Saccharomyces cerevisiae S288C: one gene and its partners. Changing the gene in region 1 together with any one later gene gives a genetic interaction. Each region holds a gene or a part of one and is shown in the gene's direction. Other genes may lie near its edges.

Region 1 (4,360 bases):
AGTATGTTGATTGTTATGCTTTTTGACAAGAAATCCATCAATATAAACAAAAGATTGTCCAGTTTCCGTCTTATCATCATCTAAGAATGTAATAATTAAGCTATTGAGAAGATGCAGAATCTGCGCTATGCAGGTGCAAATCTCTAGCAGCAGCAAAGTAAATTCAGTTAGTAAGAAATCTCACTAAGATAAGCGACTGTCTGTCCCCTTCAAGCACAACATAGAAAGCAGAAGGATGTCTCATTCATCGCTTGATTTCCGGCCTGCAAAAATAAAGTAGTCGGTACGTACGTTCGTTTTCAATTTCCATGGTGCACAGTATCTTAACTATCTGCTTAGTCGAGGAGAACCAGGATTCTGTTCGTTGCTCAGCCGCTTCGTGGATATTCTCTTGGATACTTTAAATATGGACCTACGCTTAGCCTGCGCTTAGCCTACAACTTCTTCCGCTCTCGAAAAGACCAATATAATAGAAAGTTATAAATTACATTTCCTTATTAGGTATACGACCTCGCGCTTCGAAGTAGAGGAGCCCTTTTTGGCGTACCTACATATGGCGCGTCAGACAGACAAACTTCCCCCAAAAATGTATTACCCCGCCGAATAAGAAAACAGACCCATTCACCCACGACGTATCAAGTTACTTCCTTGGTGCAATGTCCCACTATAAAAAAATTCCTTGACGCTAGATCGTTGGACTAAAATCTGCGTCACAATCGCCTAAACAGGAAATATTGCCTATTTTCGTACAAGGTTACTTCCTAGATGCTATATGTCCCTACGGCCTTGTCTAACACCATCCAGCATGCAATACAGTGACATATATATACCCACACCCACACCCACACACCACACCCACACACCCACACCACACCCACACCCACACACCCACACCCACACCCATCACAACCCTAACCCTACCCTATTCTAACCCTGATGAACGTGTCTCTCAACTTACCCTCCATTACCCTACCTCCCCACTCGTTACCCTGCCCCACTCAACCATACCACTCCCAACCACCATCCATCACTCTACTTACTACTACCATCCACCGCCCATCATAACCGTTACCCTCCAATTACCCAAATCCAACTCTACTACCATTACCCTACCATCGACCATCTGCTACTCACTATACTGTTGTTCTACCCTCCATATTGAAACGTTAACAAATAATCGTAAATAATACACATATACTTACCCTACCACTCTAATCCCACTACCACATGCCATACTCACCTTCACTTGTATTCTGATCGGTCATACGTACACGGATGCTACAGTATATACCATCTCAACTTACCCTGCCATAACATTCCACTCCACTCCATGGCCCATCTCTCACTAAATCAGTACCAAATGCACCCACATCATTATGCACGGCACTTGCCTCAGCGGTCTATACCCTGTGCCATTTACCCATAACTCCCACGATTATCCACATTTTAATATCTATATCTCATTCGGCGGCCCCAAATATTGTATAACTGCTCTTAATACATACGTTACACCACTTTTACACCGTATACTAACCACTCAATTTATATACACTTATGCCAATATTACAAAAAAATCACCACTAAAATCACCTAAACATAAAAATATTCTATTCTTCAACCATAATACATAAACACACTCAATTGCGTATCAATACCACCATGACGTCATTAACTTAAATGTTCCTTAATACGTCATACCACTATGCTCTATTCCATATATTGTAATATAACTGTACTCTATAGTCATACAGACGCTTTTACTTCACCCCATCTTCTCATACTATTGTCATAGAATCTCACACTGACGCATGATTAAAACGAATAATTTTTACTGTAAGGGCTGCCATCCGCGCTCTATCCTTTTGTTTGCAATATTTATATACAGAATCTCAAAACAAGCGGGAGAAGTGCTAATTACCCAGAGGTCATGCATAATCTGAGTACCACCGTACCTCTAGGTTTTGCTTTGATCCGTTTTACAGTGACACCGAACATAAGGGGAAGCTATTGACATGGTATCGAAAGGTTGTCCACATTGGGAAGTAACTTGGTTCTATGAATCTTCATGTCAGATACGTAGGACAGACTCTTCCTGTGTAAATATTTGTGACAGCTACGTCTATTTTCTACTAGATGTTTACACAGTTTTGTCACAGGAAATCTACGCTTAAAATATGTATTTCATTCAAGCGGTAACCGCTGTACGAGCAGTGACATTGCTGGTCGCACCTTAAATGTAAACCAACGTTACGGCACACCGTGATGTACCCGCATTAAAGTTTTGTAAATTCGTTATTACGATTATCGAGTTGGCTAGATAGAAAACCGGAAATGAAATGGATGCCCTTTTCGAATAGCTGAGTTTCTTTGCCTAAAATAGCCCAATATTGTTTCCCTTTTTCTATCACGAGGTTACTGAGCCATTGCATGAACGCGCGCGCCTCGGCGGCTTTTTTTTTCTGCTGTGCTGTATAAAAGCGAAAAGCCAGAAGTTACTATCTCGAATAAAAAACCCCTCGAACTGCCATCTCACTACCGAAAATGAAAGAGAATGAACTTAAAAATGAGAAGAGTGTAGATGTATTATCCTTCAAACAGCTCGAATCCCAAAAGATTGTTCTACCTCAAGATCTTTTCAGAAGCAGCTTTACCTGGTTTTGTTATGAAATTTACAAGTCCTTAGCGTTTCGCATCTGGATGCTATTATGGCTACCACTTAGCGTCTGGTGGAAACTTTCCAACAATTGTATTTACCCACTTATAGTTTCACTTCTGGTCCTGTTTCTGGGACCAATATTTGTCCTTGTTATTTGTGGACTTTCTCGTAAGCGTTCCTTATCGAAACAACTCATTCAGTTTTGCAAAGAGGTTACTGAAAACACACCAAGTTCTGATCCTCATGATTGGGAAGTTGTTGCAGCAAATCTAAATTCGTACTTATATGAAAATAAGGCTTGGAATACTAAGTACTTTTTCTTCAATGCCATGGTCTGTCAAGAAGCGTTCAGAACAACCCTTCTCGAACCATTTTCTTTGAAAAAAGACGAAGCTGCCAAGGTTAAGTCATTTAAGGATTCCGTCCCTTACATTGAAGAAGCATTGGGAGTTTATTTTAGAGAAGTTGAAAAACAATGGAAGTTGTTTAATTCTGAGAAATCATGGAGCCCTGTTGGCCTGGAAGATGCTAAACTTCCCAAAGAAGCTTACCGATTTAAGCTTACTTGGTTTTTAAAGAGGATTTCCAATATTTTTATGTTGATACCATTCCTTAATTTTTTGTGCTGCATATATGTGTCACGGGGAATGTGCCTTCTATTACGCACCTTTTATCTCGGGTGGATTCTTTTCATGTTGGTACAAGGTTTCCAAAACATGAGGATGATCGTTTTATCCGTGAAAATGGAACACAAGATGCAGTTCTTGTCGACTATTATAAATGAGCAAGAAAGTGGTGCGAATGGATGGGACGAAATTGCAAAAAAAATGAATAGGTACTTGTTTGAGAAAAAAGTCTGGAAGAATGAAGAGTTTTTCTTTGACGGGATTGACTGTGAATGGTTTTTTAGCCACTTCTTCTACCGCGTTCTCTCTGCAAAGAAATCTATGCGGGCTCTATCATTGAATGTGGAACTATGGCCATATATTAAAGAAGCGCAATTATCCTGCAGTGAGGAGTCCTTAGCGTAAAGATAAATACAACTTTTTCAATTTATATATTTTGTAGTTTGTCAGCTGCGAATAACCAAAACGAGACTACTTTTTACCATTACAACCATTTTCTTTTTCCCTATTTCTCACTGGTTGACAGAAATCAGTGTGCTATCATCCTACCATATGCGCTAAACTTATTGTCTTTCTCCTCCTAGAGATGCTGTATTCCATGCATATTCTGAACGATGGGTTGGTGTTTTTATCAAGCAAGGTTAATCACATGGCGTGGCTTGCTCCACACATCAGTAGAAAACGCATACCGCAGCGGAATCCTTAAATAATAAGTGATTTTACTGTTCATCAACTACAATCGGACTCTTTCACAATTACCCTTCTTGTTTTCCACATTTACTGTTAAATGAAGGGATGTACAGAAGGCTTAGGAAAACCTGTGCTGAATACTGGATGGACACTGCATTCCCACAGTGAAACTTTTATAGATACACTGTCAGTTATTTTCGAACTTTCATCAAGTTGCTGAGTTTTAGTATCCCTTTGCCTTAGCTATATGTTTGAATGAGCAAAATATTTGCAATGTCTCTAGCTTTCTTGAAATATTGGTTTATATTGAGGGCTTGGTAAGATTTCAAATTTCACTTTGAAATACTCAGGAGAAAAATCATGCTCTTTTGATAATTTGGTGACTAAA
Region 2 (3,577 bases), on another chromosome or scaffold:
ATATTCAGTGAATGGTGATAAAGGTACTCCACACTTACTTGGATCACTCTTGTGATCAATTTAAGATACCTATATGTGTAACCGTATTATGTAATTATGAAGTATAAGTCGTTGAAAGACTTATACTTTTTAGGCGTAATATCAGATGGAATCAAAGAAATTATAGAAAACAGTAGATCAGAGATCCTGCCTTTGGAATTCTGTAATTCAACATATGGAAAAATTGATGCGAAATCACAAGAGTACAGGGATAATTTGGTAATGTATCTCACTAGTTACCATTGTTTTGCTACGCGTACTATCTCGTTTCAATCACCTCTTCTATAATATTACTAAAAAATGTTCATATGTTATATGGCGTACCGATAAAGTTATTGCATTTCTCATGCGATTTTAACTTCCTTTTCAAGTCAAGGATACTTTGTGCAAGCGTAAATCCTTGCTCAATCTCCTCTGCTCAAAATGAAAAAAAAAAAAACGCAGAATCATATGCAGGATGCAATATTGCTTAAATGATTCTATATTTTGCACTTATGTGTGAAGAGTGTAATTTTTGATCTTCCATTTTAATGTTATGCACATAGAGCTGAAATTAAATGCGTCATATATAATTATTATGAGTGAGTGGATTTTGAGATAATTATTGGGAATTCATTATTGCTTGAGATAATATTATTACTTATACAGAATACACTAGAAGTGCTCCTCGGGGACATAGAGATCCATAAAAGGGAATCGATAATTCTACACATTAATCTGTTTTATTTCTTTATCTGTTTTACACGTTTTCATTCATTATCTTATTACAAAATCAGCCCTTGCGCTTCATGTTCCATTATACTCGCAGACTGTTTCTCATCATTTATCTCATCTTTAACTCCATTCAGTATATTATCTTAATAACGCGACTACTAGTAGTGAATAATGGTCAATTTTTACTTCAGAAACTTCCCTTGATTTCATTCATAGATGTTATTTCATTGTCAATTTTTACTCTTACTCACCGATTTGAATGACAGTAAAGAACTTTGCTCAATTAATATTATATTTGTTGTTATCGTCTAACGCTGTAAGTATATGGTACTATCATAAGAACCTCAGTAGTGGAATATGGTTGTTTCTTGTGCTGACATGATTCCGGATGGCCTGTAGGAAAGTATCCAAGATTTTTATTATCAGATACCGGTATGCATTCCATAATGCCAGAGTTTGCGTTCTTACGTCAAAGAACAATGATGCTACGGAGCGCAAGAAAGTGACGTGGCCAACTATCAGCGCGCTAGGATATGTATGCACTGCCGAAAGGCTGAAGCGTATCGTACATTAATTCATAAAGAGAAAGAAATCTCAACCCTGAATTTAGGATAGCGAAGTGCAATAAGAAAAACTTTACCATTGTTTTCAGGATGAATTCTATATCAGCCTGTTTATATAAACAATTTGACAATAGTGCGTAAAGCTAAAAAAGGAAGCATGCCCTTTGTTCCTTATCGGGTGGAGAGGGCCGCACTTAATCTCGAGCGGATATCAGGTACCAAAAGCCTAATTGAAGCAGGCAAATTTTTTTTCCCTATTTTCTTTTATTTGAGTGTGTACATACTAATATAAATTTGATCAAATAATGAATGCGATTAAAAATCAATATTGGCAAATGGAAAAAAATCTAATAGCGGCTAATAGTGAGACTTACATCGCTATAGATTGGTAATTAAACGAATTAAATAATAACAATTGAAAAAAAAAAAACTATCATGAGAGAATATACCAGTAAAAAAGAACTAAAGGAAGAGATTGAAAAAAAATATGAAAAATATGATGCAGAATTTGAAACAATCTCTGAATCTCAAAAAGACGAAAAAGTTGAAACAGTGGATAGAACACCCTCTGAAAACCTCTCTTATCAATTGGGCTGGGTTAATTTATTATTAGAGTGGGAAGCAAAGGAAATTGCTGGGTATAATGTGGAAACTCCTGCGCCTGGTTATAAATGGAACAATTTAGGAGGATTATACCAGTCATTTTATAAAAAATACGGAATCTACTCCATTAAGGAGCAAAGAGCCAAGCTGAGAGAGGCCGTAAACGAGGTCTATAAATGGATATCTACTTTATCTGATGATGAGCTCTTTCAAGCGGGAAATAGAAAATGGGCTACAACTAAAGCTATGTGGCCTGTGTATAAATGGATCCATATCAACACGGTTGCTCCTTTCACAAACTTTAGAGGAAAAATTAGAAAATGGAAGAGACTAGTGCCTGAAGAACAACGCATAAAAAGGAGGAAGATATAATGAGAAAGTTGTATATGGCCGTCTATTTTTTTTCTTGCAGGATTTAGAAACTACCACAGGAAAACCTTTTTTAATATCATATTTTTTGATATTATTATATTTGAGAAATGAATCTCGATTATTATGAGTCAATTTAACAAAACCTCATATAATGTACAGCAGTATAAAGACAAAACTCTCTTACGCTTACCATAGCCTCAATAACATGTCACAATACGAACTTTTTATGTTCTTCCCATATATTTTATTGTACTCTACACACACAGTATTGATCATATAGTTAATTTACCTTACTATACGCTAACCTTTAAAGCAACAAAGATATAGACGATACCATACATGAATGTCGATCAGAGACGTATGGTATAGCTTGTGTCACATTCTGCTATCGTATATGGTATACATGGCACATACTTTAAATTTTAAAGTAATGTCACTTGATTAAGATCTTTCCTATACGTCAAGGTCTCGAGATAAAACTTTATGTCTCAAATAATACATGCTAGGCATATAATGACCCATTTTCTGGAGTTGATGTACTCAAGACATTGGTTAAATATCAATCACGCATGATGATAGTGCGCCCTATTATAACCCATTTTTGTCATCGTCATCACGCTTCATCACCTGAGAAAAGTAACATACAAACTCAACGCCTACTAAGATTAATACATCAAAAACGATATCGTTGCCATGTACGTGCCCTAACTGCAGAAGAGAACTTCAACACTTGGACTAAAATTCACATGAAATTCTCCTAACATTCTAACATCGGTGACATCATTCCAAACCTCTTTGTAAAAGAATATATGAACAACATATGCATTAGAATAACGTGCCGTTAATTTTGCTCGAATTAACTTACCCCAGACTTGACAAAAATCTAAAAACTAACTACTCAGAAACACAAGCAAGCCTTGTGCATAAGAAAGATGTAAATCCATAGCATCAGCAGTTTCGAACTTGATACACCTCCAATTATTGCTTCATAAAGAATACATCTCCGTCTGGTAATGCGATGGCCCCGGTTTAGAGTACCCTTCTTGCGCAAGGTACTTGTGTGATAAGTAGCGCATTTTTTGCACATCACGTATGCTACTTTTGTATTCTTCACTAGCAGGCACTACAGTTGAAATAGAATTGAAGCTTGAAGTGTCGTATGGGTTATTCCGATTAGTTCACCTATTCGCATATTACGATTTTATAATCAGAGTGATATCAATGAGTATTATAACCTTTAAGTCATTGTGCTTATGCTATCTATAAACGTCCAGCGGCACATAATT
Region 3 (4,717 bases), on another chromosome or scaffold:
GATATTTCGGATATTCGTGTAGCGGAACATCCAACGCATTGAGAAGTGCTTCTTTAGTATTGTTATAAGTCATTGTAATTGTTTGCTCGGCCATTTGATCAACGGAAGTTGTTAAATCATTGCACTTTGCTCTAGCGCTCAAAATTTCAGGTCTCAATGTTTCCAGTTGTTCGTTAATTTTTATTTCTTCTTCACTATACATTTTCATATTAGATTTGGAGATCATTATTATATCGCTTAATAATTTCGATAGATAAGTCTTGGCAGGTAACAATTTAGAAAGTGATCTTTTCTTCAAAACAAAATTGCGTAGAGAATCTTCCAGACTGTCAAAATCCGGATCGGGATCGCTGCTAGAATATGGGTCGTCGTCAGGTTTTCGGTCACCATGATCTTCATTGTCATTTTCATTATGATAATGTGGCAATTCATCTCCGTTTTTGGAAACAAAGTGGACAAAATCAGCTGCACGTTTATATGTTTCTGGGGACAGGTCACGGATTTGCTTTAGGATCAACTCCTTACAACGTTGTTTGTCCCTGATTTTGTCAAATTTTTTCACAACAAAAAACATTAATTTTTTCTCACGAGATGCTAAAGAAATAAACTCCTTGGCAGATAGTGTTAGCTGGTTCTCTGCATTGACAACAAATATAACTAAGTCGATTTCTTCTTGTCGGGACATTACTTCGGCGGTTTGTAACGAGTCCATGTTCAACCCAGGGGAGTCAATTAATGAAATATCAACAGTACCATTCCTTAATAGACTAGTAGAGGCAGGCCTTTTATCGTCCTTTATGTAAATCTTCAGTAAAGCATATTTTCCGTTTTGGGGAACCAAATCGGGAAGTTCTTTCAAAGTGTGTATTTCATAAGTCTTGGGATTTTGTATTGAATACATATCAATGGCTTCCTTGAGAGTCGGAGCAATGTTTAGTGGTATGGCATGAACCTCCTCTATGCCGTCATTTTCCCGAGCCTCTAGTATTTCGGAAAATACATTGGTACATGGTAGCTGATCCTCAGGTAGCAAACGCTGCTTTAATAGAGAGTTGCAAAGAGCTGATTTACCAGTATTTACATCACCTGTGATGAATACTTTAGATGAAACGTCATCCACTCTTTTTTTCAAAGCGTTTAAATGATTTGTCACTGATACGATCTGAGAGTGAAATAATTTTGATAAAGCTTTTTTCTCAATGTTGAAACCGTTCTTTTCTTTGGTATTGTACTGACCATCTAGCTTGATATTCAGTTGTAGAACATGTAATTTTTCCCGTTCATCATTTGCAGCAATAAAAATCGGGCGAATATTATTTTCTTCTTGAAGTTGATCCATAAAAGCTTGTGTCTTTAATATAGATCTTTTTAAAAGTACTCTATTGTTGTTATAATTCCACTGGCTAAGTTGTGAAGAAATTAAGTGTGCTTTTGAGTTGGAGGAACGCAATGAGGGCAACAAATCATCCTCCCTACGCCCCTCTTCACCATCAAACAAAGTGGTACGGTCATCAGTTACTCCATGGAAATTACTGCCTAAAAAATGACCTTCGTTGCGTGAGTAAGTAAGAGTTTGTGGTACTATTGTGGCGGCATCATCGTCCTGATCTGTGGAGTCCTTGTGCGGTTTATTGCTGTCTTTGAATTGTTGTTTTCCTTCAGACATCGTTAAATGAGCCTACCGTTTTGCCTCTATCCGTGATATCAGATAATGTTGCTATGTTCGGATGTACTTTGCTTTATTTATTAAGGGCTACTGTAACCTGCGTTATCCTGTTTCAATAATGCATCGTCCGTCTTAATTAATATTAGCCCGGCCATATTCTTCAGCATGAAAAGCTGTATTTACCCGGACTGCGCACCAACTTTTAAATATTAATCTCCGTTCGGTCTTTGCGCGAGTTATTATACTAGCGCCACGTATTAGTAATACTATAGCTATCTTGCCAGATAAGGGATCACAAGGAATTATATACCGTGGATCACAACTATCCATATCACTCTTCCCAATTTCGCGGAGAAATACTTATGCAGGTTTCCAAATCATTTCCGTAGCCAAAGCTGCCTGTTGGCCACTGTTTTGGCATCTCTCTACATTTTTTTTTTTCATTGATACTTTCAACCCAGACATTCTGTCACCTGGTGAAAAACGACACAAACTCCTTTGTAACAACAATTGCAATTTTAAGATATATGAGAATATTGATAAGGCTAGAAGGATGGTAGTAAGAAAAGTTGTTGTTGGTAATTTTTCAAAAAAGAGTTTCAAGAGCTGGGAAAAGAATTAAGGCAATGGGAAGCGAACCGTTTCAGAAAAAGAATTTGGGTCTGCAAATTAATTCGCAAGAAAGTGGAACAACCCGCTCAACATTTCATTCGCTAGAAGATCTAGGAGATGATGTAATTAATGAAAGCTGGGATCAGGTGAACCAAAAGAGAGCCAATATAGATCATGATGTCTTTCATGAGCACCCTGACTCTTCCCCATCATTGTCAGCACAGAAAGCAAAAACAAAAGAAGAGGAAGTTGCTGTAAAGTCATCGAACTCCCAGTCAAGAGACCCTTCTCCTGATACTCAAGCACATATTCCATATACTTATTTTTCCAAGGATCAAAGACTAATCATTTTTGGAATTATCATTTTTATAGGATTTTTGGGCCCAATGTCTGGAAACATATATATACCGGCTTTACCATTGCTGCAAAGGGAATATGATGTAAGTGCAACAACAATAAACGCTACAGTTTCTGTATTTATGGCTGTTTTTTCCGTTGGTCCATTGTTTTGGGGCGCACTGGCGGATTTTGGTGGAAGGAAATTCTTATATATGGTGTCGTTATCACTAATGTTAATTGTTAATATACTTTTGGCCGCTGTACCAGTCAATATTGCTGCCCTTTTTGTTTTAAGAATTTTCCAAGCTTTCGCTTCCAGCTCTGTGATTTCTCTGGGAGCTGGCACTGTAACAGACGTTGTTCCTCCAAAACACAGGGGAAAGGCCATAGCGTATTTCATGATGGGTCCAAACATGGGTCCTATTATAGCACCCATTGTTGCTGGGCTTATTTTAATGAAAGGAAATTACTGGAGATGGCTTTTTGGTTTCACTTCTATCATGACAGGAATAGCATTGATCTTGGTTACTGCTTTACTTCCAGAAACGCTACGTTGTATAGTTGGTAATGGAGACCCTAAATGGGGTGACAAAAAAGATGAACGTGAAAATAACGAATCTCCATTCTTCGAAGGTAATAAAATATCACATCGGCGTCTGTTCCCAGACATTGGTATCCGTAAACCAGTCAATAATGATGCTTTCTTCCAAGAAAATTTTCCAAAGCCGCCTAAAGCAGGTTTGACACTATATTGGAAAATGATTAAATGTCCTCCAATAATAATCACGTCCGTCAGTACTGCACTCCTGTTCTCCAGTTACTATGCGTTCAGCGTCACGTTTTCGTATTACCTTGAACATGACTACCGTTTTACTATGTTAGAAATTGGTGCTGCTTATGTCTGCCCAGGTGTAGCTATGTTACTAGGATCTCAATCTGGTGGGCACCTCTCAGATTATCTTCGTTCACGCTGGATCAAAAGTCATCCTAAAAAGAAATTCCCGGCAGAGTTTCGTTTATTACTGAACCTAATTGGAATTTTACTAACAATATGTGGCACAATAGGATACGGATGGGCAATCTTCTTTCATTATCATTTTGTGGTTCTTTTAGTTTTTTCCGCTCTCACTGCCTTTGGTATGACCTGGTGCAGCAACACATCAATGACATATTTAACTGAGTTATTCCCCAAAAGAGCTGCTGGAACTGTTGCTGTTAGTAGTTTCTTTCGAAATGTGGGCGCTGCCATTAGTTCCGCTATCATTTTACAGCTCTGTAACGCAATGGGAATTGGATGGTGTTTTACAGGGCTCGGTCTCTGCAGTTCAATTTCATTGATTGGTATATTATATCTTCTCATTTTTCAAAGAAAATATACTGCCAAAGAATTTTAAGAAATAGTTTATGTTTAGCTATAAAATTTAACTTTTAGAATTTTATTATATTATTTAACTTTCAAGAAAATTTTCTCATCACTCATCCCAAGGACTTCAAGAAATAGAACAATGCATCATAAGTTTATGAATTACGTGCATTTGGACCTTCAAAGAATAAAATCGAAGTTATAGTTAATTATATTAAATTAAGCCAAAAGTACATATATCTAAAAGGAAAAAGTATAAAAATTATGCAGGTCCAAGACATACTTAAGCCTTCAAAGAAGAAGCTCTTCTCTTTCTGATTTCGGCCTTTTCAGCCTTTCTTTCAGACAATCTCTTAGCCAACAATTGAGCGTATTCGGCAGCAGCTTCTCTTTGAGCTTGAGCGTTTCTGACCTTCAAAGCTCTTTGGTGTCTCTTTCTTTGCAATCTTTGAGGAGTAACCAATCTTTGGATCTTTGGAGCCTTGGTGTAAGTCTTTTCACCCTTGGTGACTTCTCTTCTGATGACGAAATCACGAACGTCATCTTCCTTGGACAAACCGAAGAACTTTCTGATGTTGTTAGCTCTCTTTGGACCCAATCTCTTTGGAACAGTAGTGTCAGTTAGACCTTCCAATTCTTGTTCACCCTTCTTGACAATGACCAAAGCCAAGACAGCCAAATCTGGACCAACAATGGCACCTCTGACGGACTTTCTCTTTCTTTCACCATCACGTCTT
Region 4 (3,075 bases), on another chromosome or scaffold:
TTTACAATAATGTATTGTTCTTGGAAAATAACACAATCTGTTCAAAGTGGACAGAAACCCTAAAACAAAAATAATAACGGGGAAGGAAAAAAATAGCAAGTGAAACATAAATGAAAAAAAGGAAAATTTTATTGGTTAATAAGAAACGATCGACTATGGCAAGGCCGCAGAAGAACCGGACTTGCTCAACCATTGGTCAACGACATCATCGCTTAAAGTAGCATCAAAGCTTTCGTCGACTTCGATAATGTGAATAGTTTTATCACTTGAATTAAAGATTACGGCAGCCTTTAAAGTACCATCAGTTGGTCTCTCGAAGTAATCTTGAGTACCACCATCTTGGCCGTCATGGATGTGTGAGATTAATTTATCAGAACCAGCGGTCAAAATTTCGAACAAATCCATTTCACCACAGCCAGTTTTCCAACAAGAACAAGATGCATCACCATATTGCAAGGTTCTTGGGATTTTTGCATTTAATAACCAAATAGCTGGCATATCTTGATTGTAGGCAGAACCGCTGGTGTCACTTGGCATAGAAAATTCGAAGACGAAAATTTTATCAGCCCCACCAAACCCATGATAAGCAGGAATGCCTTCTCTGTAATAACCACAATCGCCGTTATTACCGGAACATTCTTCACCGGAGAAAATCATGAATTCATTACCAGATTTAATGGTGACATCACCAAGAGCTTGAGCGGAGGCAGCACCAGAAACACCATCTGAAGCAGCAAAAGAGATGGAGTTACCGAAACAACTCGACCAGACACCAGAACCGGCAGTCCCCCCTTGGTTGTTCATGAATGTACAGTTGCTAGTAGAGCCTGGGACAAAGTAGGAACCTCTGGACCAGTCACCGTTAGTGTTAGAAGATGATGACGAAGATGATGAAGCAGCAGCAGCAGAAGAGGTGGTTTTAGAGGAAGAGATGGAAGACTGGCTTTCACTCGTTTCAACTGCTTGAGCACTGCTGGACAAAACAGTAGAGTCTTTAGTGTAAGAAGAAGGAACAGCAGGACCGACAACGGTATTGGTGGAATCGGCTGTGACTGTTTGACCATTACTGTCGACGTAAACAGTGGAAGTAACTTGAACATATTCAACAGCAACATCCCTCTTGTGCTGATGCTTATGTCTGGAGACAACAGCTTCACCTTCCTTACAGGACTCGATTGATTGTTTCTCTGATCTTTTCTTCAAAGCATTAGATTCACCATTTGGGTAGTAAACACCAAATTGTAGTAACTCGATCGGACCCCTGAAATGAACAGATAGTTCCTCGTTGAAGGGAGCCAAGCTACCAGAAGCAGTGAAATCAGCTTGGGTACAAGCACAAGAAGATTCATCCATATTGGTGACATCTTGGTAGGTAGCAGATAAACCGACGTTAGAGTAAATGATGGCATCGGTTTGAGCACAATAGTAATTACCGCCAGAGTAAGTACAATCAGCGTTCACGAGTGACACAACTGAAGAAAACAAACCGACTAATGCGGTCATGGAAAGCTTTTGTAACATTTTTTTCGTTCAAATTCCGTTAGGTTTTAGATATTTTATGGGGTGTAAATGGAAAAACGAAAAGGTGAGAAAAAGACGTTCTATTGAAGGAGTGACTAGAAGTTGGATAAGTTAGGTTGGTTTGAGTTTTGATTCTGGAGTCTTCTTGCGAGAAAAGAAATAATTATAATATAAAAAAAAATTGAATGGAGATAAGAAGTTTAACTAGCAAAGTTCGAGAGATATAAAAAGTAGAGATGCGAAAATAAAATTAAAACAAATCTGAAAATAATGGAAGTGAAACAAGGCTAAGCAAGAAAATTTTCTATATTGCCAAGACAGGAACGTTTGTGATGAATCACATCTGCATTCGTGGTATATTTAAATGAAAATCCCAAGTTTCGAATTTTCACGTTTGCTGTACGACGAAAAAGCGTGGAAAAATAAACAAAACCAGCACTAAATCGCCAACGAAAAAGGAAAGTCGCCAACGCGAAAAGAAAAGAAAAAGCGAGGCGCAGATCTCGTGGTATGTGATATCGTGTCTAATGACTTGACGTGGCTTTTTTTCTTGTCGCCATCTGCGCTTACTTGCGTTATATCAAATATAATTTCAGCACAGCATTACATGCAGAAATAGCAGGGTGCAGAGGTCGAAGTAGATAGAGGACAACACCTGCGATGGCCGTACAGACACCAAGACAAAGACTGGCTAATGCCAAGTTTAACAAGAATAACGAAAAGTATAGAAAATACGGTAAGAAGAAGGAGGGCAAAACTGAGAAAACCGCACCTGTGATATCCAAAACTTGGTTGGGTATTCTTCTGTTTCTTCTCGTAGGTGGTGGTGTTTTGCAACTAATCAGCTATATCCTATGAAGCAGTGGCAAATTGCATATATAAGTGTACAGTGGAAGCAAGTACGTAAATAAATAAGCGATTTCGAATAATAATAACAACAAGCATAAGGCAGTATTACCCGCGTTGTCATTTATGGATGCGAAAAAAGATGAAGTAATTCAAGTGCTATTGTGATTTACCATGCCAATCAAACGTGCAACAAAGATGAGTATGAGGGGGGACCCAGGCATAGTACACAGAAAAGCTTTGTAGACTGTCTTTGTTTTCTTAATTTTTCAAGTAGGCTTTCTGCTTTTCTTCTGTACTTATCGTATGCTGGGCCGGGCACTAATCAACAAGTATGGATTTTTAATTCATCCTAGGAGATTTGTACATTTAAACGATAAGTCCCTTGATGGAACATTTATACTACCTTCGAAGAAAAATCATATGTATGATGTTCCAACTAATGATCCAAGCGGTATCCTGAATGCCTCGGATATCGATAGAATCAATAATTTGCCATTTTTCGATAACACCAGTCCGACAAAAGAGACAAATACTAAGGAAGGAGCATTGTTGAGCGAAAAATTGGCCAGCGTTAAAGAATTATTTGGAGAAGACCCTGAAAATCCTTCGTTTATCAATTACAGATTCCCCAGAGGTTTAGAGAATCCCTATTTTGACATTCAAGTAAATCAGCTAAAGAAAAAACGATTATCCGTCACACAATTA

The links.
Region 2: mutations in COS1 (region 1) and IRC4 together harm fitness less than expected from each alone (positive genetic interaction), as found in Saccharomyces cerevisiae (one large-scale study listed by BioGRID).
Region 3: mutations in COS1 (region 1) and DTR1 together harm fitness more than expected from each alone (negative genetic interaction), as found in Saccharomyces cerevisiae (one large-scale study listed by BioGRID).
Region 4: mutations in COS1 (region 1) and YSY6 together harm fitness more than expected from each alone (negative genetic interaction), as found in Saccharomyces cerevisiae (one large-scale study listed by BioGRID).

The regions. Positions count from the first base shown.
Region 1 is NC_001146.8:5,789-10,148, forward strand, and holds COS1 (Cos1p), read left to right. Parts: upstream 1-2,541; coding exon 2,542-3,687; downstream 3,688-4,360. Other genes in the region: YRF1-6 (Y' element ATP-dependent helicase protein 1 copy 6), read right to left, coding at 1-143, 292-310.
Region 2 is NC_001136.10:1,515,850-1,519,426, reverse strand, and holds IRC4 (Irc4p), read left to right. Parts: upstream 1-1,751; coding exon 1,752-2,291; downstream 2,292-3,577.
Region 3 is NC_001134.8:587,449-592,165, forward strand, and holds DTR1 (Dtr1p), read left to right. Parts: upstream 1-2,292; coding exon 2,293-4,011; downstream 4,012-4,717. Other genes in the region: FZO1 (mitofusin), read right to left, coding at 1-1,666; 40S ribosomal protein eS6 RPS6B, read right to left, coding at 4,264-4,717. UniProt on the Saccharomyces cerevisiae protein: Prospore-specific dityrosine transporter responsible for translocation of dityrosine through the prospore membrane and required for the formation of the outermost layer of the spore.
Region 4 is NC_001134.8:563,050-566,124, forward strand, and holds YSY6 (Ysy6p), read left to right. Parts: upstream 1-2,181; coding exon 2,182-2,379; downstream 2,380-3,075. Other genes in the region: TOS1 (Tos1p), read right to left, coding at 154-1,521; EXO5 (Exo5p), read left to right, coding at 2,674-3,075. UniProt on the Saccharomyces cerevisiae protein: Interacts with target proteins during their translocation into the lumen of the endoplasmic reticulum. Protects unfolded target proteins against degradation during ER stress. May facilitate glycosylation of target proteins after termination of ER stress.